2 linked regions of the Arabidopsis thaliana genome follow. The protein of the gene in region 1 interacts with the protein of each later gene in a biochemical or structural test. Each region holds a gene or a part of one and is shown in the gene's direction. Other genes may lie near its edges. The genes, in order: PCNA2 and RAD5.

What was found.
Region 2: of the proteins of PCNA2 (region 1) and RAD5, one has a biochemical effect on the other in vitro, tested with the Arabidopsis thaliana proteins (one study listed by BioGRID).

The regions. Positions count from the first base shown.
Region 1 is NC_003071.7:12,643,468-12,658,310, reverse strand, and holds PCNA2 (proliferating cell nuclear antigen 2), read left to right. Parts: upstream 1-6,557; 5' UTR 6,558-6,712; coding exon 6,713-7,031; intron 7,032-7,519; coding exon 7,520-7,672; intron 7,673-7,755; coding exon 7,756-7,853; intron 7,854-7,947; coding exon 7,948-8,172; 3' UTR 8,173-8,405; downstream 8,406-14,843. Other genes in the region: AT2G29605 (Plant protein 1589 of unknown function), read left to right, coding at 1-402; AT2G29600 (Galactose oxidase/kelch repeat superfamily protein), read right to left, coding at 1,403-2,650; AT2G29590 (Thioesterase superfamily protein), read left to right, coding at 2,879-3,070, 3,323-3,463, 3,566-3,709; MAC5B (CCCH-type zinc fingerfamily protein with RNA-binding domain-containing protein), read right to left, coding at 4,153-5,005, 5,187-5,410, 5,531-5,800, 6,196-6,300; ENOC (cytosolic enolase), read right to left, coding at 8,617-8,688, 9,044-9,241, 9,348-9,434, 9,604-9,689, 9,790-9,888, 10,114-10,217, 10,339-10,415, 10,516-10,596 and 5 more; TUB7 (tubulin beta-7 chain), read left to right, coding at 12,379-12,772, 12,958-13,227, 13,368-14,053; RPC14 (RNApolymerase 14 kDa subunit), read right to left, coding at 14,483-14,673, 14,795-14,843. UniProt on the Arabidopsis thaliana protein: This protein is an auxiliary protein of DNA polymerase delta and is involved in the control of eukaryotic DNA replication by increasing the polymerase's processibility during elongation of the leading strand. May be involved in UV resistance.
Region 2 is NC_003076.8:7,558,572-7,577,259, reverse strand, and holds RAD5 (DNA/RNA helicase protein), read left to right. Parts: upstream 1-6,150; 5' UTR 6,151-6,388; coding exon 6,389-6,925; intron 6,926-7,008; coding exon 7,009-7,142; intron 7,143-7,231; coding exon 7,232-7,367; intron 7,368-7,508; coding exon 7,509-7,562; intron 7,563-7,648; coding exon 7,649-7,795; intron 7,796-7,881; coding exon 7,882-8,033; intron 8,034-8,109; coding exon 8,110-8,194; intron 8,195-8,304; coding exon 8,305-8,574; intron 8,575-8,690; coding exon 8,691-8,837; intron 8,838-8,944; coding exon 8,945-9,100; intron 9,101-9,474; coding exon 9,475-9,542; intron 9,543-9,635; coding exon 9,636-9,758; intron 9,759-9,867; coding exon 9,868-9,967; intron 9,968-10,049; coding exon 10,050-10,162; intron 10,163-10,390; coding exon 10,391-10,669; intron 10,670-10,780; coding exon 10,781-10,981; intron 10,982-11,064; coding exon 11,065-11,158; intron 11,159-11,252; coding exon 11,253-11,324; intron 11,325-11,527; coding exon 11,528-11,626; intron 11,627-11,763; and 3 more. Other genes in the region: AT5G22760 (PHD finger family protein), read right to left, coding at 1-502, 603-1,085, 1,190-1,218, 1,312-1,781, 1,871-1,995, 2,151-2,430, 2,628-3,549, 3,759-4,466 and 1 more; CSLA02 (cellulose synthase-like A02), read left to right, coding at 17,394-17,723, 18,044-18,142, 18,374-18,626. UniProt on the Arabidopsis thaliana protein: Functions in error-free postreplication DNA repair or DNA-damage tolerance (DTT) pathway. Required for homologous recombination (HR) induced by DNA double-strand break (DSB) in somatic cells.

The DNA.
Region 1 (14,843 bases):
GCAGCCGCACTACAAACGCTACCCGATGACATGCTACAAGAGCTATATCAACAATGCCAACGGCAATCGCAGCTTCAACAGAACTTCTCACTAGAAGAGCAGCAAAGACTTCAAAGTAAAGTAAACAACAACGGGCTTCAAGGAGTAGTAAGGCCACCCGAAAAGCCGCCACAAGACCTATATGGACAATGTCAACCGCAATCGCAGCTGCAACAGAACCTCTCAGTAGAAGAGCTGCAAAGACTTGAAGTTGAATATCGAGCAAACAGCAACGAGCTGCAAGGAGTAATACCGCAGCAACAACATCATCAGGAACAAGAAGCAATGCAGACACAAGGAGATCCACTGAATCGAATACCTGTTCAATCTGAAGCTTCAAACCATTCAGATAGTGGTAAGTAGCAACACCCCTTTCCAACACTACAAATTTCTTTTGTCATCTCTTATCTTACTTCGTCTCTCTTTTCACTTATGTGTTAGCACACTAACAATGGCTCAAAACCAGCATGGTCTCCAAAAGGCAACATGAATGACATGGTCTCTGAAAGAGGGAGCGATATCAGAGAGAGGAGCTTAGTGATTTGCTCTAGATTAGCTTTTTTGTCTTTTTGTTAAATGTCGTTGGACGTGAAACACAAGTCTCGTTGTTCTCTATTTAGAAACCCTAATTTGTCGCTCAAATGATAAGGTCACCAAATTGAGGAACCAATTTGTCTTGCTTTTATATTGCTCGTATACTTAAACGGCTAAAAGCATAGTGAGTCTTTTAAAAATGAGAACAGAGGTGTTTTTTTTTTGGTATACGTTCTATATAGATAACTTCAGCCTTGATCAGGACTTTGTATTTCCACACTTTCATATATCGTAGACAGTTACCCACAAAATCAAAACCATCTGTTACTTAATCACTCTGTTTACTTCATATCTAAACCAATATTTCATAATGTTGCTCATATAGTAGAGGCAGATTAGGTTCATTAGTTAGTGTAAAGTGTAGATTAATCAGCTTACTTACACAAGAGTTATATATCTAAAAGCAAACAGGAAGAAGTTGAGACCATGTTTCTGCAAAAACCCCAAAAGACTAAAGATGCATTTCAACAAGTCTCATAAGAACTTTTGTATCGAAAAGCTAAAAGAGTGGCCAACTCTACACAAGGCTAATTCTTTTAAGAGTATTCACATTTTTGCACAAAGGTAAAGAAAGACGAGTTACTCCATAAGTTGTCAGATATAGAGCTTCTGCACCACTTTTGCTTCATATCAATAAGGTGTAAGAAAAGATCCTTCACCTGCAAGTTCATGTAAACCTACATCAGACTTGAGGCTCAAGAAAACGTCTGAAACATCATCATCACTCATCAAAGATTAATTAACATACCTTGCAACTGCAAACGAATCATCAAACCGTAACAGTTCGAGAAAGCACAAAGACAGGCGACTTGCGGAATTTATTCACAAGCGAGAGTGATTGGACCTTCCCCCAAATTTCACCATCTTCACGTCTCTCCAACGCCACCTCTACGCACCAAACATTTACTTCCCCGTAATAATCAAACCTAGCCTGGCTTTGATAACATCCCAAAATCATCAACTTCCCACCAAAATTCGTCATTCTAGACTCACTATAAACGAGGTTAGGCAAGTAATCAACACCCATGACAGGTCTCCAACCCATTTCTCTTGGATCATACACGACAATGGGAGTTACATGAAGGTGATCCGGAACAACGGCATACAACAAATTATCAACCACACAATACAACACCTGCCAGAAATACCCCAATTGATTTCCTGCAGGTCCCCAATCTTCCCATCTACGTCCTCTTAGATCGTAAGCCACACGATTGTTACCATCCAAAATGTAAATCTTATTATCCAAAACGAAATGAACATTAAACGGTGCTTTCGAACGACCATAGGGGGATAATACACTAGGCACATTTTCCCAAGTATTAGTCTCTACATTGAACACTTCGACCCAATCATCACTTCGTTTAGTGGAACCTCCCACCACGTAAATCATTCCGTCAATCACTGCAGAAGCTGCGTAGGAACGAGCCACTTGCATCTCCTGGAGATAGCGCCACGTATGGAATCTGCAGTCGATGACAAACACAGTCTTTGCGCGTCGATTCAAGCTTCTGAGTCCACCCATAACGTAAATCTTGTGTCCGATTGTGACGGTAGTGCATCCAGGAAACATGGGAGGAAGAGATGTGACTAAGCTCAATTGTAAAGAGGTATTGTTTCTCCGTTGGAGAATAAACCATCTTGGTTCTTCAAAATTTGGGGACGTGAACGTGATCAAGGTATAAAGAACCGGTTCCGTCGAGCCGATGAGCGAGCGAGTTTGGAAGAGATCCACCGAAGAGATTACTTGACGAAAGGAGTCAGAGAGGAGAGATAGCGTCGGGTAATGACATCTCCGGAGAGTCGCGATGGTGCTTACGATTAGTTCTAGTGGCATTTGTGGAGGAATCTGAGGAACATTCTCTACTTCTTCTTCTTGATGATCGTCTTCTTTCGGTTTCTCGTTTTGATTCTCTTCTTCTTTACCTTCTTGCGGGTTCTTGTGAGGTTCTTCGGGTTTCTGGTTTGGATCGCCGCCGTTAGAGCCGTCGTCGGAAGTTTCAGAGATAGAAGCCATCGCCGTGTGAGTGTGACGTTAGCAGCAACGAATTATCTAACTGAAAGTGAGAATGAATTTGATAGTTGAAAAAAATGCTCGTATTTATAGTACAGAGAACGACGGCGTAACGATTTGCTAAAATGGGGCCTTTAAGGCCCATAAAGTATCTGAAATATGAATTGAGTAATTTATTTATTTATCCAAAAAATAAAAATAAAATAAGAATTGAAAGAAATTAGAAAGACGATGATGGAGAAAATTATGGAGTATCTGCAATTGAGCGATGAGGTGGTTGACGACGGTGAGGCACCGCGAGTTGAAGAATTTTTAGGTGAAGGGAAAAGCTTCTACGAGAATTTTAGTCTCAGAGGAATCCGAGTCAACCGAGTCGAACCGGGTTTCATTTCCTGCTCTTTCAAGGTTCCTCTTCGTTTGACGGTAAGTCTTTCTCTCAATCCTCTAAGCCCCTTCTATTTTGATTAATTGTCGAATTAGCGTGATAGGTTTTTGGAAATAAGCTAATTTGAGGTTTAATGGCATTATTGTCAGATGTTTGAAGATGATAGTTCTCGGTGATACTATTAGTCTTTGGAAACTTGAGCAGAATCTAGAAGATGCTTGAACTTGATTGTGTCGTTTTTTTCTTTTATTGGAGACGATGTTGATATTTTAATGTTTTGATAATGTCAGGACAGAGACAAGAATTTAGCAAATGGTGCGATTGCAAATCTTGTGGATGAAGTTGGTGGAGCACTTGTACATGGCGAAGGCTTACCTATGAGTGTTTCAGTGGACATGTCTATTGCATTCCTTTCAAAAGCTAAGCTTGGTGTAAGTCTGCTCAAGTCTTTTTTCAATCTGTACTTTGGGACTGTTTGTTTGCTATAGAAATGGATTGAGAGATATGATATTGAAATGGAAATGAATTTTCAGGAGGAGTTGGAGATAACGTCGAGATTGTTAGGAGAGAGAGGAGGTTATAAAGGAACAATCGTTGTAGTCAGAAACAAGATGACCGGGGAGATTATAGCGGAAGGTCGACATTCTATGTTTGGTAGACAAGCTAGTAAGCTCTGAGTCCAACTTTTAAGTCTTGTATCACTGTAATGTCTGTTTTCAATAATAAGATTATGGTTAGGTAAATTTGGTTAGGTCCTTTGTTCTTTCTGGTTGTGAATCTAAAACCTTGGTACATAGCTTATAAAGATCAAACCATTCAGTAACTGTGATAGTTATGTTGATGAGGATGGTATGATATGTCTCATCTATACAACATTGAAAGCTGTTTAAAGAGGAATTTGAAGAAGCTTCAAGAGAATTTTGTTGTCTATGGTTTCAGCTTGGATTTAATGTGTATGTTGGATTATCAAAAATTCAAAATTATAATGTCAACAAGAGTCTACAACTACTGTAACAATTCTCTTCTCTTACATTGGAAACTAATTTTAAATAGCAGAAGCAAAAAGTCAAAATGTAGATATGGCCGGAAATTCGCACTACATTTTAACTGACAACGGTTCCTATTGAGACGAACCAGTAGTAACAGCAGCATCAGCAGATTGCTGAGAGGATCCTGAAGGTGCTGCAGACACAGAGTCAGGTGGTGGAGCAGAGACTGAACTTGGATGTGGAGGATTAGGCCTTGAACCGGGACCTGGTTGTTGTGGGTAATCATGATCAGCTTGTTGTGAATGGCCATGGTGGTAAGGAGGATACTGCTGGTAAGGTGGTTGCATATATCCTCCATATGATGGTGGCGGGTATGGCTGGTGCTGAGGATAGTGGCCATGTGGTGGCATAGTGTAAGAAGAAGAAGAAGCTCCTCTGTTGTCACTGGTGCTTGAACCGCTTTCTTTGGACGAACTAACTGCACCCATTCTCTGAGGGTCCATTGATGGGTAAAATGGTCTGTCTTGATGAGGAGGTTGTGGTGGTGGTGGGTGCATATAGTATTGTAGCATTGGTGGAGGTTGATTCTGTTGCTGAGATATAACTGCTCGAGGTAGTAAACCACTATGAGCCACACTGCCCTGTTGGTTAGAACCATCTTGATCAGGTTTGGGAACCTGAGGTCTTCCCCATGTGAGTTTTAGCCTCTGACCGTTGACAACTAGCCTGTTACTGAGCTCTTCTGCAGCTTTCTCTGCTCCTTCTCGGGTTGTGTAAGTGACAAACGCACATGCTTTCTCAGCCAAGATTCTGATGGATTCGATTTCTCCATGGGCGTAGAATTGATCACGAATGTCTTGCTCAAGGACTCTCGAGTTTAGCCCACCAACATAAAGCGTTCTGATGCTTTGATCCTCTGGAGATTCCAAAGTACCCATCTCCCCAGCCTTGCCAAGTAACTTCAACGCAACTGGATCGTTTACACTGCAGGAAGTGAAGAATAAGATGAGAAAACAGTTCCAATATCACCAAAATAACAGCCAGTTTACGCACACAAACTGATGTATTTTTCATAACTCTCTTTCATGATATACCAAAGCAAGAAATTGAGGAGTAACTCAATATTATCATACTCAAACAAAATGAAAGTTAGAAGTATGCTTACCCATAATAACGGTCTTTAATGTTCTGCTGGGATAACTCTCCTGTTTCAGGCATCTCATGACGGTATGGACACTCATCACCTCTTGTACACTCTCCCCTAATGAAGAAACTACAAATATGAGCTCGGTTCCTTTTGTAGTAAGGCGTTGTCCTTTGAAGCATACGAATGGTATCGTTGGGCCGAATCTTCCCAAAAGAAGACTCATAATCTAGTCCAGCTCTCGTCTACACAAGAAAACAAAACCATTTCAATAGGCCATTACAAAGTAGAGAAACTGTATAGCCAAATCTCAAACCAATCAATACTCAAATAATATAACTAGTTAGAACGCAGAGTCACCATACCTTTCGATCATGCTCTTCAGCGAAAAACTCTCGGTTCACATCACTTTTTGGGATAGAATCATGAGTACTAATGTTGAGCGCCGTGTCTCTGACCTGAACTGGAAGACCATACTCAAGATCCAAGAGACAAACTTGGCACACATTCTTCAACTTGCAACATGTCTGACAAACTTCAGTCTTCTTGTATCTCGCATCCCTACCAGGTCGCCATCTGAAAACCGTGAAAGGCCGGGTACAGATCTTACACTCTTTATCGTAATTCGCCTTTGTCTACATACCAAACAACAACAATAAATCAATCAATCAATCAAACATGAAGCTGCACATCACTACCAGACATAACATGAGACAGTATTCAATGAATTACATTCCCTCTAAGCAAATTTGATCAGAACAAACCAAAGATATCATTTTGAACTACAACTCCATGAATTCTGATTTTTACCAAAGGTTATGAATTGTATATTAAATCGCTTAAACCCTAAAATCTCAAATCACTAAAATTGCAGCTTCAACACTAAGAAACATAAAAGCATTAAACAAGCTCGAAAATGGACAAATGAAAGGAGATCTTAATAAAGACACATGAATGTTAAAAAAAAATCTAGCTAAAGGCAAGGAAATCGAATTTGTTTGAGGAGAAACATAGGAAGCGAAGAATATACCATTCTCACGTAAGGATTGTCACCGAGACAAGACTCACAGATGATTGGGAAATCAGAACGTTCCCATCCATCAGCCTCGTGATCTCTCAGTATTCTATGCGCCATTTCCTAATTCTCTTCCTTCCTCAATGATTTCTGGATTTCTTCTTCAGTCTCGAACACGAAGATTACCTTGAAGAGCAGATTTGCTCTCGTTTCGATTTTTTCGGGAATCTTTAATATTACAGCTGCTGTTGGGCCGAATGTTTGTTTGGCCCAATTTAAACCCATGAAATAAGAAAGCTTAAAGTGATGGTGGTGTACTGAAATAAACAATACGGACTCACACAGATGATAATTCATCGTCACACACAGGCGGGAACAAAAATACCCTAAAATCGCTAAATGGCGCCACAAAATCTCAGCTTATAATATCACTTCCCGCTAACAATTGCAATCTCCTCCCAGAAATTTCAACAGCTCTAAAAACCCTAACCGTTTCGATTCACACTCTAACCTTTCGATAATTTCCCAGAAGATGTTGGAGCTTCGTTTAGTTCAAGGTTCTCTACTGAAGAAGGTTCTAGAAGCGGTCAAAGATCTGGTGAACGATGCGAACTTCGACTGTTCGACCACAGGGTTCTCGCTTCAAGCTATGGATTCGAGCCATGTCGCGTTGGTGTCTCTTTTGCTTAGATCTGAAGGTTTCGAGCACTATAGATGCGATAGGAACCTCTCTATGGGAATGAATCTTGGTAATATGTCTAAGATGCTGAAATGTGCTGGAAATGATGATATCATCACCATCAAAGCTGATGATGGTAGCGACACTGTTACTTTCATGTTTGAGAGTCCCAGTAAGTTCTTCAAATCGATTTTTGTTTGTTAGGGCTTTGGTTTTGTTGTCAATGTTGATGCTATTGGTGACCTGATTCTGTGTTTATAGGTTTGATTTGCCAGAAGCTAGAATATGATTGTAGAGAATGATTCAGTCCATTTCTTGAAAGCTTTAGTTTGTAAGAGATGAAAGAGAAGATAAAATCTATGTTAATAGAGGGTTTTTGGTTTGGAATAAGGTTTGATATGGCTTTGTTTTTGTGTAGTTAATGATGTTATTAGTGATCTGAACTGTTATTTATAGGTTTCATTTGACAGAAACTAGAACTTGCTTGATGAGAATGAGTCCTTCCATTTTTGTTTTCAGAATAGGTATAGTCTCTAGCTTAAAGACTATAGTTTGAAAGTGAATAGAGTTTCTTGATTTAGTGAAAGTTAACAGAGGAACTTTGTTTGATATTGACTATGTGGTGTTAATCTCATTATTTAAATGGTGTTGATGATGCAGCACAAGACAAGATTGCAGATTTTGAGATGAAGCTGATGGATATCGACAGTGAGCATTTAGGAATTCCTGATGCTGAGTACCACTCGATTGTGAGAATGCCTTCTGGTGAATTTTCCAGGATATGCAAAGATCTCAGTAGCATTGGTGACACAGGTAAATGAACTGTTTGTTTATTTGGTGTATCACTGCGAGGATTCTCTAATCATGATTCTGGTTTTGATGTTATGATTTTGCAGTTGTGATCTCGGTAACAAAAGAAGGGGTGAAGTTTTCAACAGCAGGTGATATCGGGACAGCAAACATTGTGCTCAGGCAGAATACTACCGTCGACAAAGTATGAACAATCACTAGTCATCTAGAGAGATTTGTTTAATAATCTGTCCAATACAATGTTGAAGTGACCTTATGTTTGTATGTGTGTTTTGCAGCCTGAAGATGCTATTGTGATAGAGATGAACGAGCCTGTTTCGCTTTCATTTGCATTGAGGTACATGAACTCCTTCACAAAGGCTACTCCATTGTCGGAAACTGTGACCATCAGTTTGTCCTCTGAGTTACCGGTCGTGGTGGAGTACAAGGTGGCTGAGATGGGTTACATTCGATACTATCTGGCGCCTAAGATTGAAGAAGAAGAAGACACCAAACCAGAATAATGATGAATGTTTGATAGTCTTCGTTCGAGTCCTTTGTTGAAATGTCTGTCTTGATTCAGTTGTTTTCTGGATTTACTATCTTAAGGCAATGCTAAACTAGATAATCGTATGATGTTTGTCTTTCTGAAATTTGGAAAAGCTTGTTTATAACACTTTTCATCTGTTTGTTAAACATTGAAGAAAAAGAAGACACGAAGCCCTAAAACACGTTTGTTTGTGGCTTCTGCAACCTCACGAACTAGTGTTGATTGATGTTTTTGGATGCTTTTACAATTTGTAAAAAACATGTTTAACACTCTTTACTTCTGTTTGTTCTTAAATTTGGCAAAAACAACAAAAAATTTGAACTTTCAAGACACAAGAATTTGTCTGCGTGAGAAATAGACTCGAGAACAATGAAGTAAGACGAGAAGTGTAACAATTAATATCACATGTGCATTTTGTTTAGAGAGATAGCTTCCAATCTTCTCCAGCATACACTGCTTGATCCCCAAGCTCTTCCTCTATCCGTAGCAACTGCAGGAACATTTCAACAGTGATTCAGCTTTTTAATAAAGTAGTTTCTACAATGAAATGAGAACACTATCTAGCAACTAAATGTACATGGCTGCTCCAAACTCAATCATTATGGATCTATAAGCTGAGGCTGCATTAGCCAAAAGTTGAAGAAACTGAAACTTAGCCTAGGTTGCTAAAGATTCACATACCACAACATAACTCAGCTACTTAAAAGCTAAAAAGAAGCTGATGATAATCTGATGAAAGAGCTATGATCCAAAATTCCAATGCAGGTTACTCCACGTAATGTAGATTGTTCTAGTGTAATTGCATAAGGGGTACTGAGGATATTAGTTTGGAAAAAGATCCAGACCTGGTTATACTTCATAGTACGTTCTCCTCTGCAAGGAGCACCAGCTTTAATCACACCTGTTGCGAGACCCACAGATAAGTCAGAGATGAAAGAGTCCTCTGTTTCTCCACATCTATGAGATGTCACCACACCCCACTGGGCATCCCTTGCCATTTTCACTACTTCAATGGCTTCTGTTACTGTACCAATCTGATTCACCTGTATCACCGTATGCACATTATGTCTTTGTCGTTCTTAGGCAGTAAACATACAATATGTGCACAGGTAATACATAGTAATAAACAAAATAGGACGGACGAAATACCTTGAGAAGAAGAGCATTACAAGAAGACTCCTGTATGGCACGCTCAACTCGTTTTGAATTTGACATCAACAAATCGTCACCTACCACCTACAAGAGTTTAACACTGAGAATTTAGACAAGGAAAATGATTGTACAAGAAGATTTAAGGGTCTCTCTCTTTAGATATTTGACTCTGAGAAAAGAATCAGAAGACAGTGTGATCTGAAAGAACACAAAATCTATGTGAACCGTTAATAGTAGGGGAACCGAGTTGGACCTGACATATTCCAAGACTCGAAAAATACTTGGTGTGTTCCCAGTCCTCCTTGTCAAAAGGGTCTTCTATAGACACAATTGGATAATCTAAACCCACAAGGAGACCAAACAGAGAATCTGGTCGTTACAATACTGCAAGAGTACTAAGATAGACACAAAAAATATTGTTCAGACGAGCCAGACATACCATTACAAATTTCTTTGTACATATCTATCATATCTTCCGCTGACTTGAAATTTTGCCCAGATTTATTTGGAGACTTGATATCTAAATCATACTTGGTACCTGTTCAGGAAAGAACAGTTCCACAAGGTAAGAAATAATACACAAAAACGTATAACATAGTTGAAACTTGCAAGAGCAAGATATTGATAGGCTACACATTTGATGATTTAACATCTTATTCGTCTCACTAGCCAATTGTGAATGACAATGCCGAGAACCAAACCAAGACTATCCATGACTACAAGAAGCCGCAAAAAATCAGTTAGCCAGGAAGCAGAAAATTACCTAAACAAAAATTAGTGGCGGCAATATCAATGGCTATCTTTATCTTATCATTGTACCCTGTTCGGTTGATAGCTTCTTTTACAAGCTCCAAACCTTCCTTGAGGCTGCATACAGTTGCAATTACACATATTAGGCACTAAGCCATCAAACCATAACATGGTTTTCTCAGTTTCGACAATCTACAGATGCAAGCAGATTAGCATCAGAGAGGAAAAATATATGTACCTCGAGATATCTGGAGCAAGACCACCATCTTCACCAACATTACATCCCAAACCACCATTCTTTTCTGAAATGACAGCCTGCCATAAACAGCAATAGATCATTCTCACCTTATACACAAATTTACGGATGCAATTAGAAAGGTAACTTCTAGAAAGCCATATATCTTTGAAAATTGACCTTTAAATGATGATATGTCTCAGATCCCCATTGCAGGGCCTCCTCAAATCTACTTGCTCCAATTGGGAGAATCATAATTTCCTAAACAAATTATGAAAACACAACAATCATTACATATGTAAATGAAATTACTTGAAAACCAAAAGATTTCTTGAAGAACTTTGAGAAACAGAAACGTTAATAGTGAACTTAATGTAGAATACCTGAATGGCAAAAGTATTCGAAGCATGCTTCCCACCACTCAAAACAGTGAACGCAGGTACAGGTAACACCATGTTTGCTCTGCCACTAAGATCAGAAAGATGCTTGCACAAAGGGACCTGATAATAACTTCAATCAAAATCTCCTAACTAAAGTAGGCATAAAATACATAGGATAAGAGAAAATGTTATCATTCATACCTCTTTCTCAGCAGCTCCAGCCTTGCATGCCGCAATTGACACAGCAAGTATAGCATTAGCACCAAGTTCACTCTGCAAGATATTCAAATCAAATTAATCATGAGGAGCAATGATATATGAACTTGTTACAATCCTAATAAAAGTTCCCACCTACCTTCTTTTCAGTTTTATCCAAATCTATCATAGCCTGATCTATCTGACCCTGAAGTTTTGGGTCCATACCAATCAACGCCTCAGAAATTTTTTCATTTATGTTCTTAACAGCTTTAGCCACACTGTTTCCAAGATACATTCCTTTGTCTCCATCACGTAGCTCAATAGCTTCATACCTTGAGAATCAGTAAACCAATCTCCTCATGTCAGGCTTATCATATTAGAGAATTGTATATCAATCAGAGTAAGAATAATTCTCACGTTCCAGAAGAATCACCACTGGGAACAGAAGCACGAAAAACGCCTTTGTTCGTGTGCAGATCAACTTCAACTGTTGGAATTCCTCTGCTGTCAAGGATCTGTCGTGCTTTAACCTTCGTTATCACAGATGATACAGCTTTCTTCAGATGATTAGCCTGCACTTTTCCAATTGAAGATTCAATGAGTAATGTAACATAATTTCACTTCGATACATGTAAATCAAAATTCGAAGGAAACTTACGATGAAGAGAACGGGATCTGAGGTTTTAGCCCTTACGGCGGCATTAACGGCGTCTTCGATTTTCCGAGAAAGCATATGCTTGTCTAAATACTCTTGCACAGACATCTTCTTCTTCTTCCTCTTCCACGGACTTCTCGATTCGAATCTTCAAGCAAAATTTCGATGAACAAGTTTGAATCTGAAATTCATTTTCCGATTGACTGTATTTTTTGGTTCACGCTCCGGTTCAGGCTCCGGTTCAGGATCCAATAAGCATATTCAATCATTAAAACGATGAGTTTCACTTTACAAACACATGCTTGCCGTCTGAGGATTTTGCTAGTGCACATCACTCCGTTTTAAGTCATGCAGATTTGAAATGAAAAGAGTAAAAGCCCATTTTAGGCCCAATAAGAAGTCTCTCACGTGCGATTGCCAGGTTGGAACCGCTTTTTTATCTCTCATAAAGCACGTGCGAGTGCGACGATGTTTTAGTAACTGCTCTCCTTAATGGAATCCAGCTGTCATTCACACGAACATATTTTTTTACGAAATTCAAAAAAACTTTTTATCACGAGCCATTAATTTTTGAATTTTGCCACCCGTTGCCACCTCGATTTACGTGGCATTATCTAAACCGTCGATTCGATTTCGAATTACCAAATATTAGCCGTTAAAACCTCCTTTTCTTTATAAATGGACCCTCCTCTTCTTCTCTCTCTCATAAAACAAAAGATCCTCTCTGCTTCTCCTTTCCCTTTTTCAAAATCTCTCTCTCTCTCTCTCTTTTTAGATCCAGTTTTAGGGTTTTCTTCTCTGTGAGCGAAGATGCGTGAGATTCTTCATATTCAAGGAGGTCAATGCGGAAACCAAATCGGTTCCAAGTTTTGGGAAGTGGTTAATCTCGAGCACGGGATTGATCAGACGGGACGGTATGTAGGAGATTCCGAGTTACAGCTTGAGAGGGTTAATGTATACTACAACGAGGCGAGTTGTGGAAGGTACGTTCCTCGCGCTGTTCTCATGGATTTGGAGCCTGGAACCATGGACAGTGTCAGATCTGGTCCGTACGGTCAGATCTTTCGACCGGATAACTTCGTCTTCGGTCAGTCCGGTGCTGGGAATAACTGGGCTAAAGGTCACTACACTGAAGGTGCTGAGCTTATTGATTCGGTCCTTGATGTTGTTCGCAAAGAGGCTGAGAACTGTGACTGCCTTCAAGGTATTTGAAATCCGTCTTCCTTATTTAGGTTTTTGTCTATTTAGGTTTTTGGATCTGTAAATTTAGGTTGGGTATTGGTAGTGTATGATTGTTTTTAGGTTTAGATTTCTGATTTTGAACTGTGGAATACGGATTCGGTTTTGTATTCGTTGTTTGCTTATGGTTTTGGTTGTTTGGATTTACAGGATTTCAGGTGTGCCATTCCTTGGGAGGAGGAACTGGTTCTGGAATGGGAACTTTGTTGATATCTAAGATCAGGGAGGAGTACCCAGACCGTATGATGATGACTTTCTCTGTGTTCCCATCGCCTAAGGTGTCTGACACTGTTGTGGAGCCTTACAACGCAACACTATCTGTGCACCAGCTTGTTGAGAACGCTGATGAGTGTATGGTTCTTGACAACGAAGCTTTGTATGACATTTGCTTCCGTACACTCAAGCTTAGCACTCCAAGTTGTAAGTATTCCAATGTTCTTCGATTATGAGTCAATGTTGTTACTGTATCTGTCTCTGTGGTTTATTGTTTCAGGCTTAGTTATTGATTAGTATTGAAACTTCACTCACATATTTTTTTGTTTGTTTTCTGAATTGTGCAGTTGGTGATCTGAACCACTTGATCTCTGCAACCATGTCTGGTGTAACCTGCTGTCTTAGGTTCCCTGGTCAACTGAACTCTGATCTGCGAAAGCTAGCTGTGAATCTGATCCCATTCCCTCGTCTCCACTTCTTCATGGTGGGATTTGCTCCTCTCACCTCTCGTGGATCTCAGCAGTACCGTAACCTCACTGTCCCAGAGCTCACTCAGCAAATGTGGGATGCTAAGAACATGATGTGTGCTGCTGACCCAAGACACGGTCGCTACCTCACTGCTTCAGCCATGTTCCGTGGAAAGATGAGCACCAAGGAGGTCGATGAACAGATGCTGAACGTACAGAACAAGAACTCCTCCTACTTTGTGGAATGGATCCCTAACAACGTCAAATCAACCGTCTGTGACATTCCCCCTACTGGTCTGAAGATGGCTTCAACGTTCATTGGTAACTCAACTTCGATCCAAGAGATGTTCAGGCGTGTCAGTGAGCAATTCACTGCTATGTTCAGGAGAAAGGCTTTCTTGCATTGGTACACAGGTGAAGGTATGGATGAGATGGAGTTCACTGAAGCTGAAAGCAACATGAACGATCTTGTCTCTGAGTATCAGCAGTATCAAGATGCAACGGCTGATGAAGAAGGAGAATATGAAGAGGAAGAAGCTGAGTACGAGCAAGAAGAAACTTATTGAAGAAACAGATGATAAGAACACCTCAACTTCCAGTTGCTGTTTACTTTTAAAACTCTCTTCTATTAAGTTCTTATAGTTTCTGTAACTATCGCTTGCGTTATTAGTAGTTATGATACTCTGCGTAGGCTAAGAGGATTTATCAATCAATATTCAAACAATCTATTTTGCTAAATCAAAATCCATCCATAGTATTTTTTTTCTTTGTTTCATTATATAACCTTTTGTTAATTTTGACTATGTGAATTCGGTGAAGACTTCACCATCTTTCAAATATAAGAAGCAGAGTAGTAGTGACAATGGTTATAAGCAATATAAGAATCTTCTTGGTTAAATTTTGGTGTGGATTATGAATTTGACGAGTCAATTTGAAGGACGAATCTGGATTTAAGATAAAAATAGTATAAACTCCATAGGAGAATACAATGGTTATCAGTTGTTTTCAATGTCCATGGACCCAAATAGATCCCTCTGCCTCTTAAGCTCTTCTTCTTCAGCCTCCTCCTTACGCTTTTGTTCATCCTTATACTCAGCAACAGCCTTATCAAAAACGCTTCTCACATGTCTGTTCATTTGCATGAGCTCTTGACATGCATCTTTAAAAACCTCTCTTGCTGGATCACCTAAAAGCCACAGAGCCAACACGTTTTATGTTGTTAGACACACAGACAAAGAACTCGGATAAGAGTTATCCAAAAAGAACATAGCTTAACTCTGATGAACAGAGTTTTTGAAAAACAGTACCTGTTGTCTGGACCCGGATATTGACCTGTTCAAGGGAAGGATGTGGGAT
Region 2 (18,688 bases), on another chromosome or scaffold:
AATGTTGGCTCCATTTCTGGTTTCACAACAGGCATTGATTCGGGATGCATTGTAAACTCGGTATAAGAAAGATTATTATTCCCGTCCGTGTCTTCACGTTTTACTGGTCTCCTCACTTGTAGCTTCTGTGGTCCTGGCACACAACCATCCTCGTTCCATTCCACATCCAAACTATTTGGTGTAATTTGTTCGACTTTTGAAACTGACACCAAGAGAGGATCATCCTCTGGAACAAACGTATCTTCAGAGAGAAATGAGGGAGTAGAGGGCAACGAGTCTTTCGGTTCAGACATTCTTTCGGAATCCGAATCAATTCCGGTATTTCCTTGCCCATGCTTCTGCCTCCTGAAGAATACTTGTTTCATCTGCTTCTGTTCCTTGAGTTTGGGATCCATGTAAGGGCAATCTGGTGATCGTATACGACGACATCTGCAACACTTGAACCCAACCACTTCAGGAATTTTTGACTCCTCGAGCTTGACCGCTTCGATGTGGTACCACACTGCATAGAGATCTAGGATTAGAATTATAAGAGCAAAATGGTGGCATTGACGAAATGTACAATTCAGTATAGAATTTAGAGTGAGTAAAAATTTTCTTACTGTCACAACTTGTACAGTGAATATATGTTAGGCCAGGATTATACGGCAATTTGCAGATCCAGCAAACTGGTTGCAGATTCGGCTGATCAGATCGTCCAGCCAACATAACATTTTCATGTCTGAAACTAACACCTGTGTCTGCCAAGTTCTTTTTCCTCCATATGACTCCCCAAGACAATGTCTTGTGTTTACTTTTCGGTGCCAAATTGAAATCCGGAGTGATTTGTTTAACTCCTGAAGCATTGTCGCCTGTTTTGGAAGATGGTAACTGTTGATTAAGACGCTTAATCTGTGTCTTCGTGTTTGAAGTGGCTGCATTTTGAAGTTGACCGTTGATCAGGACACTGGGTGTTGTTGGTTGTCTGTGATTGATATTGATTTGTGAACGTGCTCTTGCAAGGTAGCACCGTTTGCAGGTTACCAAAATTTCCAACTGCCCAGTTGTGTGTTGTGAACTCATAGTACATTCCTTGTGACAGAAACCTGAGAGGCAAAGAGTAAATCCACAATTATTCAGATAAATTCCCAAATAAGCAAACGTAATATTGCCATGTTGTCAAATCCATCAGCAAGCGAGTGTAGTGTACCTTGGCAAGTACTGCATGTTATTGAATCCCTATAGACATGTAGAGGACGGGAACACAAATAAATGAGCTACATCAGATTTTTTAAGAAGCATCTTGAAAGGTGAAGAAAGCTAAAATAATACCTCAAAAAAACATCGAGATGGCATGATGCACAAGAACACTTCTCCGTGTTGTCCCTCCGAGAGGCTAGATAAGAAAATATGTTTGCTCGAGAAGCTTTTAGTTGCCTTTTCTGGAGCTTTGATATTTTTCTTGATGGCTTCTTGATAAAAGGTATGTGTACCACCCTATGCAAACTTTCTTCATATTCTTTGATCAAATATAAGGGAACGCGTGCTTCATGAAACCAATACTTTTCGTTTCTATCTTCAGATTTCTCGACTTCAATGACATTCTTCATGACACGGGATGGAAGATGCTTTTGATTCCCAAAGACAACTCCGTATCTAACCTTGTTATCTATAATCTTCTTGACACAAATACTAGCGTTCCTGAAAATAGTGGCCTCTGTCTCTGGACCTTTAACATCTTGCACGTTTTGCTCTGGGCGTACAAGTTCACTCCATCTTATATTCATATCCAGGTATCTAACCTGGCCCCAATTCAGTTGAATTTCAGGGGATTAAAAAACAATCATATACACAGAATCATTTGAATAAGCATTGATAATAGAAGACAAACCTGAAGAGCAAGCTGAGAAATGTTTTTGCTACTTTCAACTGCGGCTTTCCAAATAGACCGCCTGCTTCTTTTAGGAATGTAAGAACCATCACCATAATTAAATTCAGGAAACTTTTTCGTACCACCTAATGGAATAAAAAAAACAAAACAAATTAGCACTATCCCCAGAGTAAAACTCAAATAAGATATCTCCGGTCGAAGTATCAAAAAAGAAAAAACTATAAGAATGCATACGTGAGAATTGTTCACAAGCGCAAAAAGCATAACCAATCAGGTTTACCTTGCCAAGCTGCTTTCTTTATCTTAGGCTTCGACAAGACTGCCTTGAGGAGTATAATTTTTGATAACTTCCCCCCTCGCCACCAAGTAAAGCTATCATCATCAGAACCTTGGGCCGTATTTTCAGCCTGGTTCCTCTGCTTCCTCCTACCAGGTCTACGTTTCTGTGTGGCCCCAACAGTAACTGGAGCGCTTTGAAAGATAGAAAGTTCTATCAACCAATCGTCCATTAGTTTAAGCCAGTCGCTTGACAGAGCAATACTGCAAATATTTTCCTCAAGCTGTGAACAAGCAAAATGAACCATATCATGCCAATGAAAACACGATACATATAGTGACAAACCAAAGATATCACTATATATAGTTGACAACATCAAATCTGAACAGTGCAAATGACAAGAAAAAGTACAATTATTTTTAATAGCAAAAAAACGTGAATAAGAACCGAACAGTTTTAGAATGAAAAAGTTTTACTTACTTCAAGCAGGAGGGCTTTCATCGCTTTGCATGTTGAAGCTTCCTCTAACTTCTTACGCCACTGGTACCTAAGACTCTCACTAAGAAATGGCCCCGCAATGAGACCACGTAAGCTTTCCTCGAGATATAGGGCATATGCTGCGATCCTAGAAAGTACCCCCTCCCCGTTCTTTAGAGGAAAAAGGCCACTGTAGATTTTCATAGCACTCTTGGTGGCCCCTGTTACAGCTGCATTTAACATGCATCCTCTCCTACTTGCTGATGTGAGTTTGCAAGAATGACACCATCCACACCTTTCTCTGGTAATTTCCTTCTTATCAGGACTTGGCCAGAAGAAACTCGAGGCTACTATCGAAAATGCTTTCATCTGTAGCAAGATGTTACTTGATGCAGCTTTCTTGGCATTACTAAATTTGTGTAGATCAGGTTCATGGGTTTCCTCTGACATTAGGATAGCCAAAGTAGCAGCAGCTGATGCAGCCAATTCTCCATTTGTGTAATGATTAATGTAAGAATGAGGTTTAAATGATAAACCCTTCTGTGTACTGACTGCAACCAAATTCTTCTCTTGCGCTCCACTTGATCTTGCTAAAACAGGACCACCAGTATAGCCTGAGGCAGATGGGTGGAGCCTAACCGCATTTTGAATAAGATTTCCACTGGAACTATTTGCACTATCTGGCTCACCTATGTCAGACACCTCGTCGCCCCCTTCTTTTTGCATGTGAGATAAATCAGTCTCCACTGTTCTCAGATAAGAGATCACACCTCCAGGCAGATCCCAGTATTGTGAGATCGCTTTGCATATATACAGATATTCCAGTCTATGGTTCGTTGCAGACAAAAGTACCAGGACAACTTTTGGAATGTCGGTGACATTGTAATATTTGATATCTGCATCCGCATGGACATTAATTTTAAGCCTGTGATATAAGCGAAATATTCATCAGCATCCACACAAAAAATAATACATGCAATATAAGTAAAATCTAGACAAGCTGATGAGTGAGAATTATTAAAGTATAAAGTGCAAAAACAACTTTCCGTGAGATATAGAACTGAGAGATCAACTCTATTTCCATAAATTTGAAAAGCAAAGTATCTGAAATGAAATAAGGCGTCGAAAACATACACCAGTAAGAGATTGCATGTACCCAAAAAGAGTCGCCCATGTGGATCCACTCCAAAATACACTGCTCCCCTGAGTGACGTTTTATAAACAACAGTTGGCCCCATTTTTTTTATAGTGCATTCTGGACAATACCACGGCCCATCTGGTATATACATTTTGACCACACCAATGCATCTTGAATGATATGCTAAAGGGCATCCATCACAACACAGCAACGTTCCATCCATGCCACAGAGCCTACATTCATCACTGTTTGCATCCAGATCTGGGCTATCTCCATTAGGACCACCATCAGTGTATCTTGAACTCCAATTTTTTGAGTCGCTCAATGAACTTATCCCATGGTTCACTGCAACAAATTCACTAAGCTCTTTCTCCTTGGAAGCTGAGGTTTTAGCAAATCTGGGGTGGACCCTTCTAGGTCCATTTTCAGGAAGTTCAGCAGTTACTCCATCAGTATCAAATCCAACTTCAGATTCTTCTCTGTTATCAATTTCAGCTCTTAAATCTGCTACATCAAAGACGTCATCACACAGAATTTGCAGGATCTTCAACTTCATTACTACAGGTGACGAGCAATATTCTTTCTCCACAACAAATTCATTAAAAAATCTCCAGAGAGGCCCACTTGCATGTCCCATGGCAGCAAAGTACTGAACCAAATAAACAGGCCAAGTTAGCGCATCGAGCAAGCTCCAATCAATGCACCTGCAGATGGCAATGCAACAAAACCCCCGAATTGTTATCCACTAAAATATGGGATAATGGGAGACCTAAAACAAGTTTCACCTAAACTATGAATAAGAGGCTTATATTGCAGTCCCTGTACAGCCATAGGCCTTTTTCTCCCAGCTGTTATAAAAGGTTTGTTGCATGTATGCATACATAAGATAACAATGTATATTTTTACTAGCTTGAAAAATAATGTCAGCAGTTCTGCTTCCTTGAAATTCAGATATCCAACAAATTAATTTTACTGTTTCACAGAAATAACTCGGAATATATGAAAGTTAACTAGAAACATCTCCAAGAAGAAACAAAGAAATATCTGTTGAAAACTGTAAATGACAAGAGTTGTATGTGCTTACCTCAAGCATTTTGAAGCCACTTCAGACCCTTCTGAGGAGAGTCTCTCAAGATGACCTTTCAGTGCCCGCATCAAGGCAACATGAACGGCATCCAACAAAGAATTAGGTCCTAAAAAATTTAAAGCTCCCACAAAATCATCCAATCCAAATGGGCAGATATATAACTGAACACTGAATGATCTTAAGAACCCATATACAGATAATAGATACACCACAGCCTCCTCAGGGATACCAATTGTTCCTGATGAAGAAGGCAACTCCACTGGTGGAACAAGAGGAGACATACTTTCGAAATCTGGATCTATGTCATCTTCACACTCAGGCAAACCACAAGATGAATAACCACTTTCAACTTCTGCCACAGAACTTGGGCTATTACATGTGGGCACCTCAACTCCTTTGTTCTTCAGGCAATCTGTTTTCTTCTTTTCGTCCTTCTTCAGAATAAAGTCGTCTAATTTACTCCTTCTAGCACGTAATTCATCATCAAAGTAACTATCCCCAATAATTAACTGGCGAAGATAACAAGTTTCCAAATCCTCAAAATCACCATCCTCATATTCAACTCTGTACAACCCAGTATTGTAAGAAACTATCTTCCCAAGAAAAACTCCACTGTCATCAACATCTTTCAACACATAACGACCAAGAAGAGATCTAGGTACAGCCACTTTCACCTCGAAAACCGGCCTCTTCCCTCGATTAGATACCCCATTAAGATCCTCTGGTCTGGGGCGTTTCCTTGGTCTACCTCTAGGTTTAGCCACCTTTCCTTCCATCAGATCCAAATCAATCCCCAGATTTCAATTCTCGTTTATCCCTTTCTATGATTCCAAAAATCTAACTTCTTTTTATAAAATCGAACCATATACCCACATCAAAATCTAAGATCCACCGATAAATCTGAAGCAAAAGAAATCAAATTCAAAGCTGAAGCAAAAGAAATCAAAGCCGTGATCCAGCGATAAATCTGAAATCTTTTCACGTCTGAGCTTGGAAATGGATAAACATATGGACAGAATTGAAGCTAAAACCTTGCTAGATTTTGATAACCACCACCATCAATGAAGCATATGGACAGAGAGCTTACGTAACCAAAAGAGAGAGACATAGAAATAAAAAAGATGAGCTTTTTCAATCGTGTCGAATGGTTCTACTACACTTCTCACTTCTGAGTTAATGGCAGATTTTTGTGGTCTAATTGTTAAACTGAGTTCAACTCGGGATGCGGGTTACCCGGATCTAGACCCGTTAGGGATTTTAAAACGTCACCGTTTTTGAATTTACCTTTCTATTTTCATCACTTGAATAAAAAAAACAATATAATGGCGGGAATTTGAGAGACTCGTCGCTAATTTACGCGCGTTTCTCGGGTCCGGCAGATTTCGTACGCCGTCGTCGTCGATCTACTTCAATTTCTATAATTCGCCACTGTACTACATTGGGGTTTTCTTTTTCCGGCGTTCTTTAGCCACAAGCTCACTGAATTTTCAGTAAAGTTTCAAAATTTCCCTGGAAAATTGTAGGATTAGGGTTTTGGAAATGGGAACGAAAGTCTCAGACGATCTTGTTTCCACCGTCAGATCAGTCGTGGGTTCCGATTACTCAGATATGGATATAATCAGGGCTTTACACATGGCGAATCATGATCCAACGGCTGCTATCAATATAATCTTCGACACTCCAAGTTTCGCCAAACCTGATGTAGCCACTCCTACCCCGAGCGGCTCTAATGGAGGGAAGCGAGTTGATAGTGGATTAAAGGGCTGTACTTTTGGTGACAGCGGAAGTGTTGGAGCGAATCATCGCGTGGAGGAAGAAAATGAGAGTGTTAATGGTGGAGGAGAAGAGAGTGTTTCAGGGAATGAGTGGTGGTTTGTTGGTTGTTCTGAATTGGCTGGGTTATCGACATGTAAAGGAAGGAAATTGAAGTCTGGTGATGAATTGGTGTTCACGTTTCCGCATAGTAAAGGATTAAAGCCTGAGACTACGCCTGGGAAGCGCGGTTTTGGGCGGGGAAGGCCAGCTTTGCGTGGTGCTTCTGATATCGTTAGGTTCTCTACAAAGGATTCAGGAGAGGTGTGTTTCACATCTTTTTTATTTGCTATGTTAAGTTTGTTAGATGGGAATTGTTAACTAACTATGATGGGCTCTTGTGGTAGATTGGTAGAATACCAAACGAGTGGGCTCGGTGTCTTCTACCACTTGTGAGAGACAAGAAAATTAGGATAGAAGGCAGTTGCAAGTCGGCGCCTGAAGCTTTGAGCATCATGGATACAATTCTTCTGTCTGTAAGGTATGCATACAAAACTTTTGTGTTCCCGTTTACAATTTCAGGATAGATGCATTAGTGTTTGAAGTGGTGTGAGTTTGTTTTTGAAACAGCGTGTACATTAATAGTTCCATGTTTCAAAAGCATAGTGCGACTTCATTTAAGACAGCTAGTAATACGGCAGAGGAATCAATGTTCCATCCTCTCCCAAATCTCTTTCGGTTACTCGGTTTGATCCCCTTTAAGAAGGTAATGGTTATTCCTTGCCTATAACTTGATATGCGGATTCTTTTATAGATTGCAGTTTGTAGTTCCCATATACTTCTCATATGATGTGACTGAATAATCTTGAGATGACGAAGAAATTTTTCCATTCTTCATCATATTTAGGCAGAGTTTACTCCAGAGGATTTTTACTCTAAGAAGCGACCTTTGAGTTCCAAGGTAAATATTACTTATTATATTAGCATCTTAAAATTTGACTTCTTGCCTGTAAAATTTGTCATTTGCTCTCTGCCCTATGGAAATAGGATGGTTCTGCTATTCCTACTTCGTTGCTTCAATTAAACAAGGTCAAGAATATGAATCAAGATGCAAACGGAGATGAAAATGAGCAGTGTATCAGCGATGGTGATCTTGATAACATTGTTGGTGTTGGGGACAGTTCTGGATTAAAGGTATTCTCATTTTCAAGACTTCTTGCTTACTTATATCCAACACTGGAAATTTCCTTTGGAAAATTGCATGAAAATTTTTGCAACAGGAAATGGAAACTCCACATACACTTCTGTGTGAGCTTCGTCCATACCAAAAGCAGGCACTTCATTGGATGACCCAACTGGAGAAAGGAAATTGCACTGATGAGGCAGCAACAATGCTTCACCCGTGTTGGGAAGCATACTGTTTAGCAGACAAGTGAGTGATATTTCTATTGCCTTCGAACTTTAGTGCGAGTCAGATAAGATATTTACTATCTGTTTTATGTCAATAGGAGGGAACTGGTTGTCTACCTGAATTCTTTTACTGGTGATGCTACAATACACTTCCCTAGCACACTTCAAATGGCAAGAGGAGGAGTATGATCTCAATACCCCACCTATAAAAATTTCTTTCATTTATTGTTTAGATTTTGTCACTTTATTATATAGCTGTTTTGTAATAATATTATATCCTAAAACTTTTGTAGATATTAGCAGACGCAATGGGTCTTGGAAAGACTGTAATGACCATATCCCTTTTGCTTGCCCATTCTTGGAAAGCTGCATCAACTGGGTTTCTATGCCCCAACTATGAAGGAGACAAAGTGATCAGCAGTTCTGTAGATGATCTCACTAGTCCCCCGGTGAAGGCAACCAAATTTCTAGGCTTTGATAAGAGGCTTCTTGAACAAAAAAGTGTACTTCAAAATGGTGGTAACCTGATTGTATGTCCGATGACACTTTTAGGACAGTGGAAGGTATTCCATGCTTAATGCACGTGCACACTATAGTTTGGTTATCCGTCAAAGTTGTTAATTGTTCTTTGTCTTTCCTTGTGTCAGCTAATATTTTCTTGCTCCTGCTTTATGATCAGACAGAGATTGAAATGCATGCAAAGCCTGGGTCTCTATCTGTCTATGTTCACTATGGGCAAAGCAGGCCGAAGGATGCAAAACTTCTTTCCCAGAGTGATGTGGTAATCACCACATATGGAGTTCTAACATCCGAATTCTCGCAAGAGGTATCTTTCATACAAGAGTCTTCGGGTCATGGATTATTCCATGTATATAGTTTATAAAAGCATCACATGAACATTTTCTTATCTTCTCTCGTTTTTCTTCTTCTTAGAACTCAGCAGACCATGAAGGAATTTATGCAGTTCGATGGTTTAGGATTGTTCTTGACGAGGCACATACCATCAAAAACTCAAAAAGCCAAATTTCCTTGGCTGCTGCAGCTCTGGTTGCTGATAGGCGTTGGTGTCTTACGGGTACTCCTATTCAGGTGATTGGTCTTTTTGTCTAGGGTTTAGAAAGAAAATCTTTGTTCTTGACCGTCCTATAGACCAAACTTTATTAGGACACTGCCATTCTATCTATGGAAGAATTTTAGTAGTTGGACATTTGTTATTCACCTGAGTTTCGAATGGTCTAAATCTCTGTTAGAAGGATATCAACTTGTTGTGCATGATTTATTGTACACAAGTCTCGACTTTATCTCACAAAGTTGTCTTTGAAGATTTATTTCATATGGCTTGCAATTTTGGTATCCATATGTCTGCTGGCATGATATCTTGGTTCATTCAAATGGATGGTGAATAGTAATTTTTTGTCCTATTTGGAACTTTGTGATCATTTCACATGTTATCTTATTGACAGAACAATCTGGAGGATTTATACAGCCTTCTACGGTTTTTGAGGATTGAACCATGGGGAACTTGGGCATGGTAAGGGTCCTTATCTATCTTTGGTTGGAAACACATAACGTTTGGTATGGAATTACTTGAAGCTTTTTAATTTGGAACATATTTTATTCTTAGGTGGAATAAACTTGTCCAAAAGCCATTTGAAGAGGGTGATGAGAGAGGGTTAAAGCTAGTGCAGTCTATCTTAAAACCTATCATGCTTAGGAGAACAAAGTCTAGCACAGACCGAGAAGGAAGGTAGGAATACTACAAATAATAGATTACTGTATAACTTCCTGTGCTTATAAAACATAATATTTTCCTTTGAGTTTCCTCGGTTAATTTGAAGCTTGTTTGTTTATTTTAGGCCGATTCTTGTTCTACCCCCTGCTGATGCACGGGTCATTTACTGTGAACTTTCGGAGTCTGAGAGGGATTTCTACGACGCGCTATTTAAAAGATCCAAGGTATTGTTTTCCTTAGGATTATTTACTCGAACTTTAGTTATTAAGATGCCTTATACTGAAGATGCTGACGGATCTTTTTCAGGTCAAATTTGATCAATTTGTTGAACAAGGCAAAGTTCTTCATAACTATGCTTCGATCCTGGAACTGCTTTTGCGTCTTCGACAATGTTGTGATCACCCATTTTTAGTAATGAGGTGTGGCTTTTACTGGCTTTTTATTTAGTATAGATACACATTGCTGGGTTTAACTTCCATGGCTACTTAATCTGTTGCATGACGTTGTATAAAATATCCAATAACATATCGTAGATAATGGCAATTTGGTATAAGAAACATGCATCCGTAGCCCTTGTTTCTGTTTGACATTTTGTTGACGCAATTGCCATATTTCTTATAACAGTCTCTTGTTTTTCTTGCATCCAGTCGAGGGGATACAGCGGAATACTCTGATCTGAATAAGCTTTCTAAACGTTTCCTTAGTGGAAAGTCTTCTGGCTTAGAAAGGGAAGGAAAAGATGTACCGTCAGAGGCTTTTGTTCAGGAGGTGGTAGAGGAACTGCGCAAAGGAGAGCAAGGAGAGTGTCCAATATGCCTTGAAGCACTTGAGGATGCTGTATTAACGCCATGTGCTCATAGATTATGTCGTGAGTGTCTCTTGGCAAGTTGGAGAAATTCTACTTCTGGGTTATGTCCTGTGTGTAGGTATCTTGAAGTTGTTCCTGCGATTACTAGTTTTCTTCTGTTGTTGATTCCAATGAGTGTCTGAGTAAGGTCTAATTTGGCAAATAATGAATGATGAATCGTTTTTTTCAGGAACACTGTAAGCAAACAAGAACTCATCACAGCACCAACCGAAAGTAGATTCCAGGTTGACGTGGAAAAGAATTGGGTGGAATCATCGAAAATCACTGCTCTTCTGGAAGAGCTTGAAGGTCTTCGTTCTTCAGGCTCTAAGAGCATTCTCTTTAGCCAGTGGACCGCTTTCCTCGATCTCCTCCAAATTCCCCTCTCTCGGTATACCATTGTTGGCTTGCTATGGTAGTTATGAGAATAAATTGTTTTTAAGAATCTAAATTATAGCACAATTTTATCTCCAGGAATAACTTTTCATTTGTCCGTCTTGATGGCACGCTAAGTCAGCAGCAACGAGAGAAGGTCCTTAAAGAATTTTCCGAAGATGGCAGTATCCTGGTTGGTGCAGTCGCATTACATTGCAATGTTCAATACTTATACTTTCTAGTTTCGAAATTGAAGTTAAAAAGTCTCCTTTTCAATTGTTGGATAGGTACTGTTGATGTCTCTAAAAGCTGGTGGCGTTGGGATAAATCTAACAGCTGCGTCCAATGCTTTTGTCATGGTATGGAATATCTATAGATATCTATGAAAGATCATATCAGTTTCTATAGGATTTAGACCATGTAATAGCTCATCCAAAATATGAAAATCGAGTAGTAGTTCATGCCACCTTTTGTTTCAAAAGCTTGTGAATGAGTACTGCACAATACAAAATAGGTTTTAAAGAAGTTTCAGTTGTAAAGAAAACCAAGTTATGTCCTATAGGATCCATGGTGGAACCCAGCGGTAGAGGAACAAGCTGTTATGCGTATTCATCGTATAGGGCAAACTAAGGAAGTCAAAATCAGAAGATTCATCGTTAAGGTACCCTCTTCTTTCTCAGCAGTTAGTCCCCATTAACCATATAAAGACCAATCACTGAAACTATTCCAAAATCAGAAAATGTTGTTGCTGAGTAATGATCATTAGAAACTTGTATGTCTTGCCTTTGTGAATCCTAGGGAACGGTTGAAGAGAGAATGGAGGCGGTTCAGGCGAGGAAGCAGAGAATGATCTCTGGGGCTTTAACCGATCAAGAAGTACGAAGTGCACGTATAGAGGAACTCAAGATGTTATTTACCTGAAACTATAGAAACTGTTCTCAAGCCTGAAGTCGATCATACAATTCTACATATATGGGAAACTTGTCACACTATATGCAAGGAGAATCAGAGATTATAACGCATCTAAAAACGGGTTTTGTTCTTTTCAAGAGATATGATGGACAATTGTCACAGTTTTGGGGAATGTGCAGTGAGAGTTCCCAAGTGTACCATAAGCCTATCTGGGTTTTGTTGTTTTGTAATGGAAATCAGATTGTTTTTTGTACTTTTTCATTTATAATGAACTGTAACTTTATACTATTATATAGTTAACTCAATATGACAAATTTGCACAGTGAAAAGGCTTAAGGATTACTTTAAAAATCTAGAAAATGTGACACTTTTACATAACATGTTCCTGTGATCTTCTTTTCCTTTGTTAAGATAAAATATTAGGAGTCTTTATACTTTGTACTGTTAGAAACTATACTGATTTATAACAGATTTTAGGGACTTTTATTGCAAATTTTATGATACCGTGGCTTTGTCATCTTCGATACAAAATTACGAAGTGATTGATTTGAAGTCGTATAACGTGTCAATTATTGTACTAAAACCAATATCCACAGACACAAATGGATCGGCTGCTAAATTCTCTGCTTCTAGGGTAACGATTTGTTCTCAAGTTAGGTAACAACGTGTATGTGAGTGTTATTTAGTCTCTAAAATATCTAAAAACCATCTGTACACTACACAAGTAATTGAGTCATAACTTACCCATCCAATAAACATCAACCTGAACCACTACTAAACTAATCCAATATGTTTTATATGTGGCTTGATCACACTAAAACTAATATTATAGCTAAAATGAGAGGTTTGTTTATTATTCCGCATTGAAAACTAAAATTTACGTGAGGCTAATCAAAACAATTCCAAGTATTAATGCGTGGATAAATCACCTAGAAAAGTAAAAGACGTATAGTGATGAATTGGTTCAGATTTTCACTAATCAAGGCCTTGAATGGAGGAGGAAAAGGAAAGACGTATAGTGATGAATAATGAATTGGTTTAGATTTTCAAACATATTCTATTATAGTGTCCTAATACAAACAAAAATAAAATAAATCAACTTGAAAGCAAAAGCGAAGTCAATTTGATTTTTCCACTAGAGAGATTAGGATTTTTTTTGGTTGTTGTCGAATAATACGATATACAGTAATGTACATTTTTTCCAAGTAATATTTTGTATAGTATAATTTAAACTTGTGTAAAATTTATGAACCGGATGCATGTTAAAACGATTTCTTAAACTGTCTTGAAATTATGTGTAAATTTTAAATTCTTATATATAGACAATAATATGTATATATATGAGCTTAAATCGGAAGAAAATCTTAAAGTAACAGATCGATATGTCGTCGACACGAGACGACAAAATTAATATTCTATGTTATATGTCGCCATTACACTTATTTGTCAAAGAAACCTTAATTTCTTGAAGTAAGAAAATAACATTATCTGCAATCTGCATACAAACATATGTCCTTAGATTGAGGAGCTTTCGGACACAAAAGAGGAGTTAATTTGCTTATGTTTGAACTAACACATCGTCATGAATCTATGGAAGGTTTGCCATTTGCAACGTTAAAAAGGTAAAAGTTGATATTTTATAAACTGAACTATATTATTATTTACTTTACAAACAAACAGAAACTTATAACGATTTCTGTTTTCTTCGATTTTTGACTCCCTTTTCTTTGTCTATCTCTTATGAATTAACTTTTAAACCCCAATGAATAGTTAGTTAATAGTGATGATAATCCACATTCGACATGATTAACGCAGGGGATTATTGTTTGTTTTAGTTATTTCATTATTTGGCTCAATCTCGGGGAAAAGATAATATGTTTTCGATATCAATTTCATTTAAAAAAGTCAAGTCCAAAGTTTCGGCTTGCACAATATGCTTTTGTAGAACTTTGAGGGAATGTCCTCAAAACGAGTTTGATCACATAGACGACGTACTATCAATAATTCAATACCCGGTTTCTGTAAAGTAACACTAGAGTTTAAAGTGAAGATATATAAACATTTTTTTACAGTATCAAAGTATCAATTTAGTAAGTAGGATTAACGCCCACTTTCTATGAAAACTAATTATTCATTAATAGTTTTTTTCTTTTCGAACTAAGAAAAAAAATGAAATGTTAAGCTCCTATATCTTTGCTAAAACCACAATCATTGGCCGCTAGAGCATTAATTAGAATTTTCAAACAGTATTACCCTGTTTGCAAAATAGGTTTAGCCCATTTAACACTCGCTACACTCCTAATAAATCCAATCTAGTATACAATAAGTTTAACCAGAGACCAAATTAGTTTCTTTATAAACTGTATAGACTATACGAATTATGTTAGATTTGTCTACATCACCATTTATGTTAATGCTATGTACTTTCTCATTGTGGTGGTTGGTGTAAATTAAATATATGTATATACCTAATATTATCTTCTTCATGGCCGATCAAGGAGTTAGTATTAGTAACCCTCTTTTTACATCCAGGAGTTAGTAACTTCGAACCAAAATATCCATGAACAAATTATAGGTTTTAAAGGCTTGGTCAAATTCAAGGTCGAAAGGTCAAGATCAAGATATAATGTAAGGTGAATTTTTATGGTGCATATGGCTGACACTGTTAAATTTTTGTAGTATAGTATGTAGTGTTGAATATTAAATTCGCGTAACTAGAAATGGTCAAAAGTCATGTAAAAGAAAGTCAGTTACGCATGCTAATTTCCAAAATTTCATACATAAAACTAAAGAATCATTTAGCTAATTAACGTAGACATGACCTTACTTCTAAGATTATATCTACAGAAAAGAAATGAAAATTTTAAGAACCAACTTATCCTAGTCATCACTCAAACACGAGATTGTTGCCTTGCTGAGCCACTTTTAAAATCATCCTATCGAACAAATTTCGTGTTATATGTCTTTTCTGAGATAAAAGAAGCAAAAAAAATTAATGACACAACTTTATCGTGAAAACAGTTGAAGCATCACCTGAAAAAGTGGAGTAATAGTCCGATTAAAAGACACAAGGTAACTATAGTGAGGCTACTTATGTAATTACGAACCATGATACCACTTTGGACGAACCTAACCCTTCATAATTGCTCGTAGTTGTGGCAGCGCAAGGCCTTCTAGTCAAAGCAATGTCTTATTATTATTTATAGAAATATAACTCTCACTTAAACATTAAATATCATAGACGAATTCTCAATGTATATATTATTTTTAATGTATGTAAAGCTAGATTGGTTGCACTCAAAAAAAAAAAAAAACAGATTGGTTTCTCTTTTACAGAAACGTTTTTGTATTGTTTTCTAAACTCTTTCGAAAACTTGTTCAATATTAAAAGAACGAGCATTTTTTGTATCTTTTAAAGTTGTAAATCGCTCTAAATGAATAGAGAAAATGTAACTTTATATTCATGGTTTTTCTCTGAATAACCAAGAAGTCTTAACTTTTAATTGAATCTCGGATTTTTTTTTCACATAAAAGACCACTCCATGTTAATACGTCAACATTATGTCGGTACTTAAACCAGTGACATTAAAGACTTCCTCAACATTGTATTTTTTTCATTATGGGTACTGAAAATTCGTCAATTCAACAACGGTATATAATCAAGTAGGATTATTTTGGTAGATAAAATATCATAACAGCAAATAACTCTATACTCAAATGCATACAAAAAATACACAAACCTAAGTAAAATATCAGAACGCTCAAAATAATACTAGTATGGGGTGCAACTGGCAATATCCGATCCATGGAAACTGGCAACTTGGTCTGCAGTCTGCACTCATGCATGTTATGATAAACACTATACGTATATAGATTTTTTTTTTCTTTTATTGCGAATTTGGGCTTCGACCTTATTCTTCCTAGGTCCGACGCCACTATTTAGTCCTTTTCTTTTAGAAATACTTCTCCTCCCAAAAGGGTTTGAACCACTACCATTCCATCTCCTAAACACATTTATCATTGCTAAAGAGTATATTAGATTGTGTTCTGCCTTAGAGCATCCACAACAATAGATCCAAAAATAAGGATCCAAACAAGCTTTATCATTTTAATAAAAATAAATTTACAATTTAGACATTTGAAAGAGATCTATATTTAAAGTATGTCCAATGGTAGATCCAAAATAGAGAGTCTAAAAATTCAAATGTTTGAAAAAATGTGTCAAATTGTTTTATAAAGAAATTAATTATGTCTAATACAAAGACATTCACCAACCAAATTGTGCCACATATGGGATCCAAATCAGTTATAAAGTATACAAATTTGGATAAGTCTAATGTTTTTCTCCCGTTGAGGTTGATCTTTCTCTCATCAAACATATGTATTTTCCTAATTAAAGTATTGAAATATTAAGAAAAGATACCACACCAATATTCTAATAACAATGTATTGTGTTTTGATGATTTTATTAACACCTATGGATAAACGGCATTTTATATATATATATATATGAATTTTTATGTCTAAGATGAAAATCTATATCTATATGTAAGATATAGATTTATATGATAGATCTAGTAACATGTTGTTTCATATGATGTTAATTCTTTTTTTTTTATAGGTACAAATCAAACTTAAAATTACTTTCATTTATTTTTGTAAGAAAAACAATGATCTAAACTTAACCAAAAAAAGTTGACTAATCCCAAAAAAAGGATGATCAAACTTAAAATTATTTTCATGAGAGTAAATTGACTAATCCCAAAAAAAAAAAAGGAGTTAAAGTGAATTCACAAGGTTGACAAAATGAGTTCTAGAAAGTTGACCTATAATAAGTAAATTGTTATAAAAAGCTGCAAAATCCAAAATCCCATAAATGGTAAAAAGTTAAAAAAAAACGCATAAAATCACTAATCACTAATCATTATTCAACTGTGTATAAAAGGATATCATTAGGATAATAAATTCATTAGAAATCTATATCTCTCTCCCTTCTCTTCCCATTGGGCAGGCACAGATTCTGAAATAACAAAACACAGAAACTGAAAAACCAAAATCTCCTCTGTTGTTTTTTACCAGAAATTTCATTAACTGAAAAAATAGAATCTCATAAAGACACAAACAAACCAAATGTATTTTTTCTTTCTTTCTTCCTTTTATTTCCTTTTAACCTTTATTACTCTCTAAAAAATCTAAATAAAAAATCAATCAAAAAAAGGAAAACAATCTTACAAATAAATAAAATAAAGTAAAAAAACAAAATTATCACCATTTATATTCCTCGTTTATCCTTCTCTTCCTCTTCTCCCTTAAACCACATTTCTCCTTCTGGCTCTCTCTCTTCCTAAGTTTCCTCTCTCTTTAGAACTGTAGAGAGAGAAAAGCCTCCATTTTTCTCAAGGCAATCTCTCTCTCTCTGCCTCATCTCATAAACCCATTACACCAAAACCTCATCGTAGAGAGAGAAACACACCAACCATTGTTACACTCTAAGAGAAGAGAAGAGAGAAGGAAAAATGGACGGTGTATCACCAAAGTTTGTGTTGCCGGAGACATTCGACGGCGTGAGGATGGAGATCACAGGCCAACTAGGCATGATCTGGGAGCTTGTAAAAGCACCAGTGATTGTCCCTCTTCTTCAATTAGCTGTTTACATCTGTTTGCTTATGTCTGTCATGCTTTTATGTGAGAGGGTTTACATGGGAATCGTCATCGTCCTCGTCAAACTCTTCTGGAAAAAACCAGACAAACGTTACAAGTTCGAGCCCATTCACGATGATGAAGAGCTTGGTAGCTCCAATTTCCCCGTCGTCCTCGTACAAATCCCCATGTTCAACGAACGAGAGGTCGGTTCTCTGTTCATTGCTCTGTTTTTCCTCTGTTTTTCTCTGTTTCTCGTTAAAGTTATAAGTTTTTCGAGAAAAGTAATCTCAGATTTTACGGAAGATAACTTTTCCCCACGTATTCATATTCCTCCGCCGTTCCAAATCCCGAAACGGCGAGAGTCGTGACGCATATTTATTTATTGTTCTCTGTGATTTTGGGTTTTTATGATTAAACCTATAGTTTAGGGGTTAACTCGTAGTAAATCATTAATTAGTGGACTAAAAGTGAAAAAGTTTGACAAAGAGATTTCTTTTGCTTCCCCGTGATTTTTGCCGTGCAGGTTTATAAGCTATCAATAGGAGCGGCGTGTGGACTTTCCTGGCCGTCCGATCGTCTCGTGATTCAAGTGTTAGATGACTCTACAGATCCTACTGTTAAGGTATTATTATTATTACTTAGTCCATTTCACAAAAATATAGGTGCATTATTTTCCTCCAATCAAATTAGATTTTTTACCATTTTTTTCAAAAGATATTTTCCTTTATTTAAAAGAGATGTAATATTTTCCTGTGGGTAAGAAAGAAAAGGGGAAATATTAATAAATTTGTAACATTAATAGATAGATTTTTTTTTTGATGTGTGATTTAAATGAGATACTCAAAATGTGCAGCAAATGGTGGAAGTGGAGTGTCAAAGATGGGCAAGTAAAGGAATCAATATTAGGTATCAAATAAGAGAGAATAGAGTTGGTTACAAAGCCGGTGCTTTAAAGGAAGGACTCAAACGTAGTTATGTCAAGCATTGCGAGTATGTTGTCATCTTCGACGCCGATTTTCAGCCCGAACCTGATTTTCTTCGCCGTAGCATTCCTTTCCTCATGCACAATCCCAACATTGCCTTGGTTCAGGCTCGATGGCGGTTCGGTAATCATTTCATTAATCATTTATTTCAATATAATCTTAAATTTGATAGTAATTGAAATAGC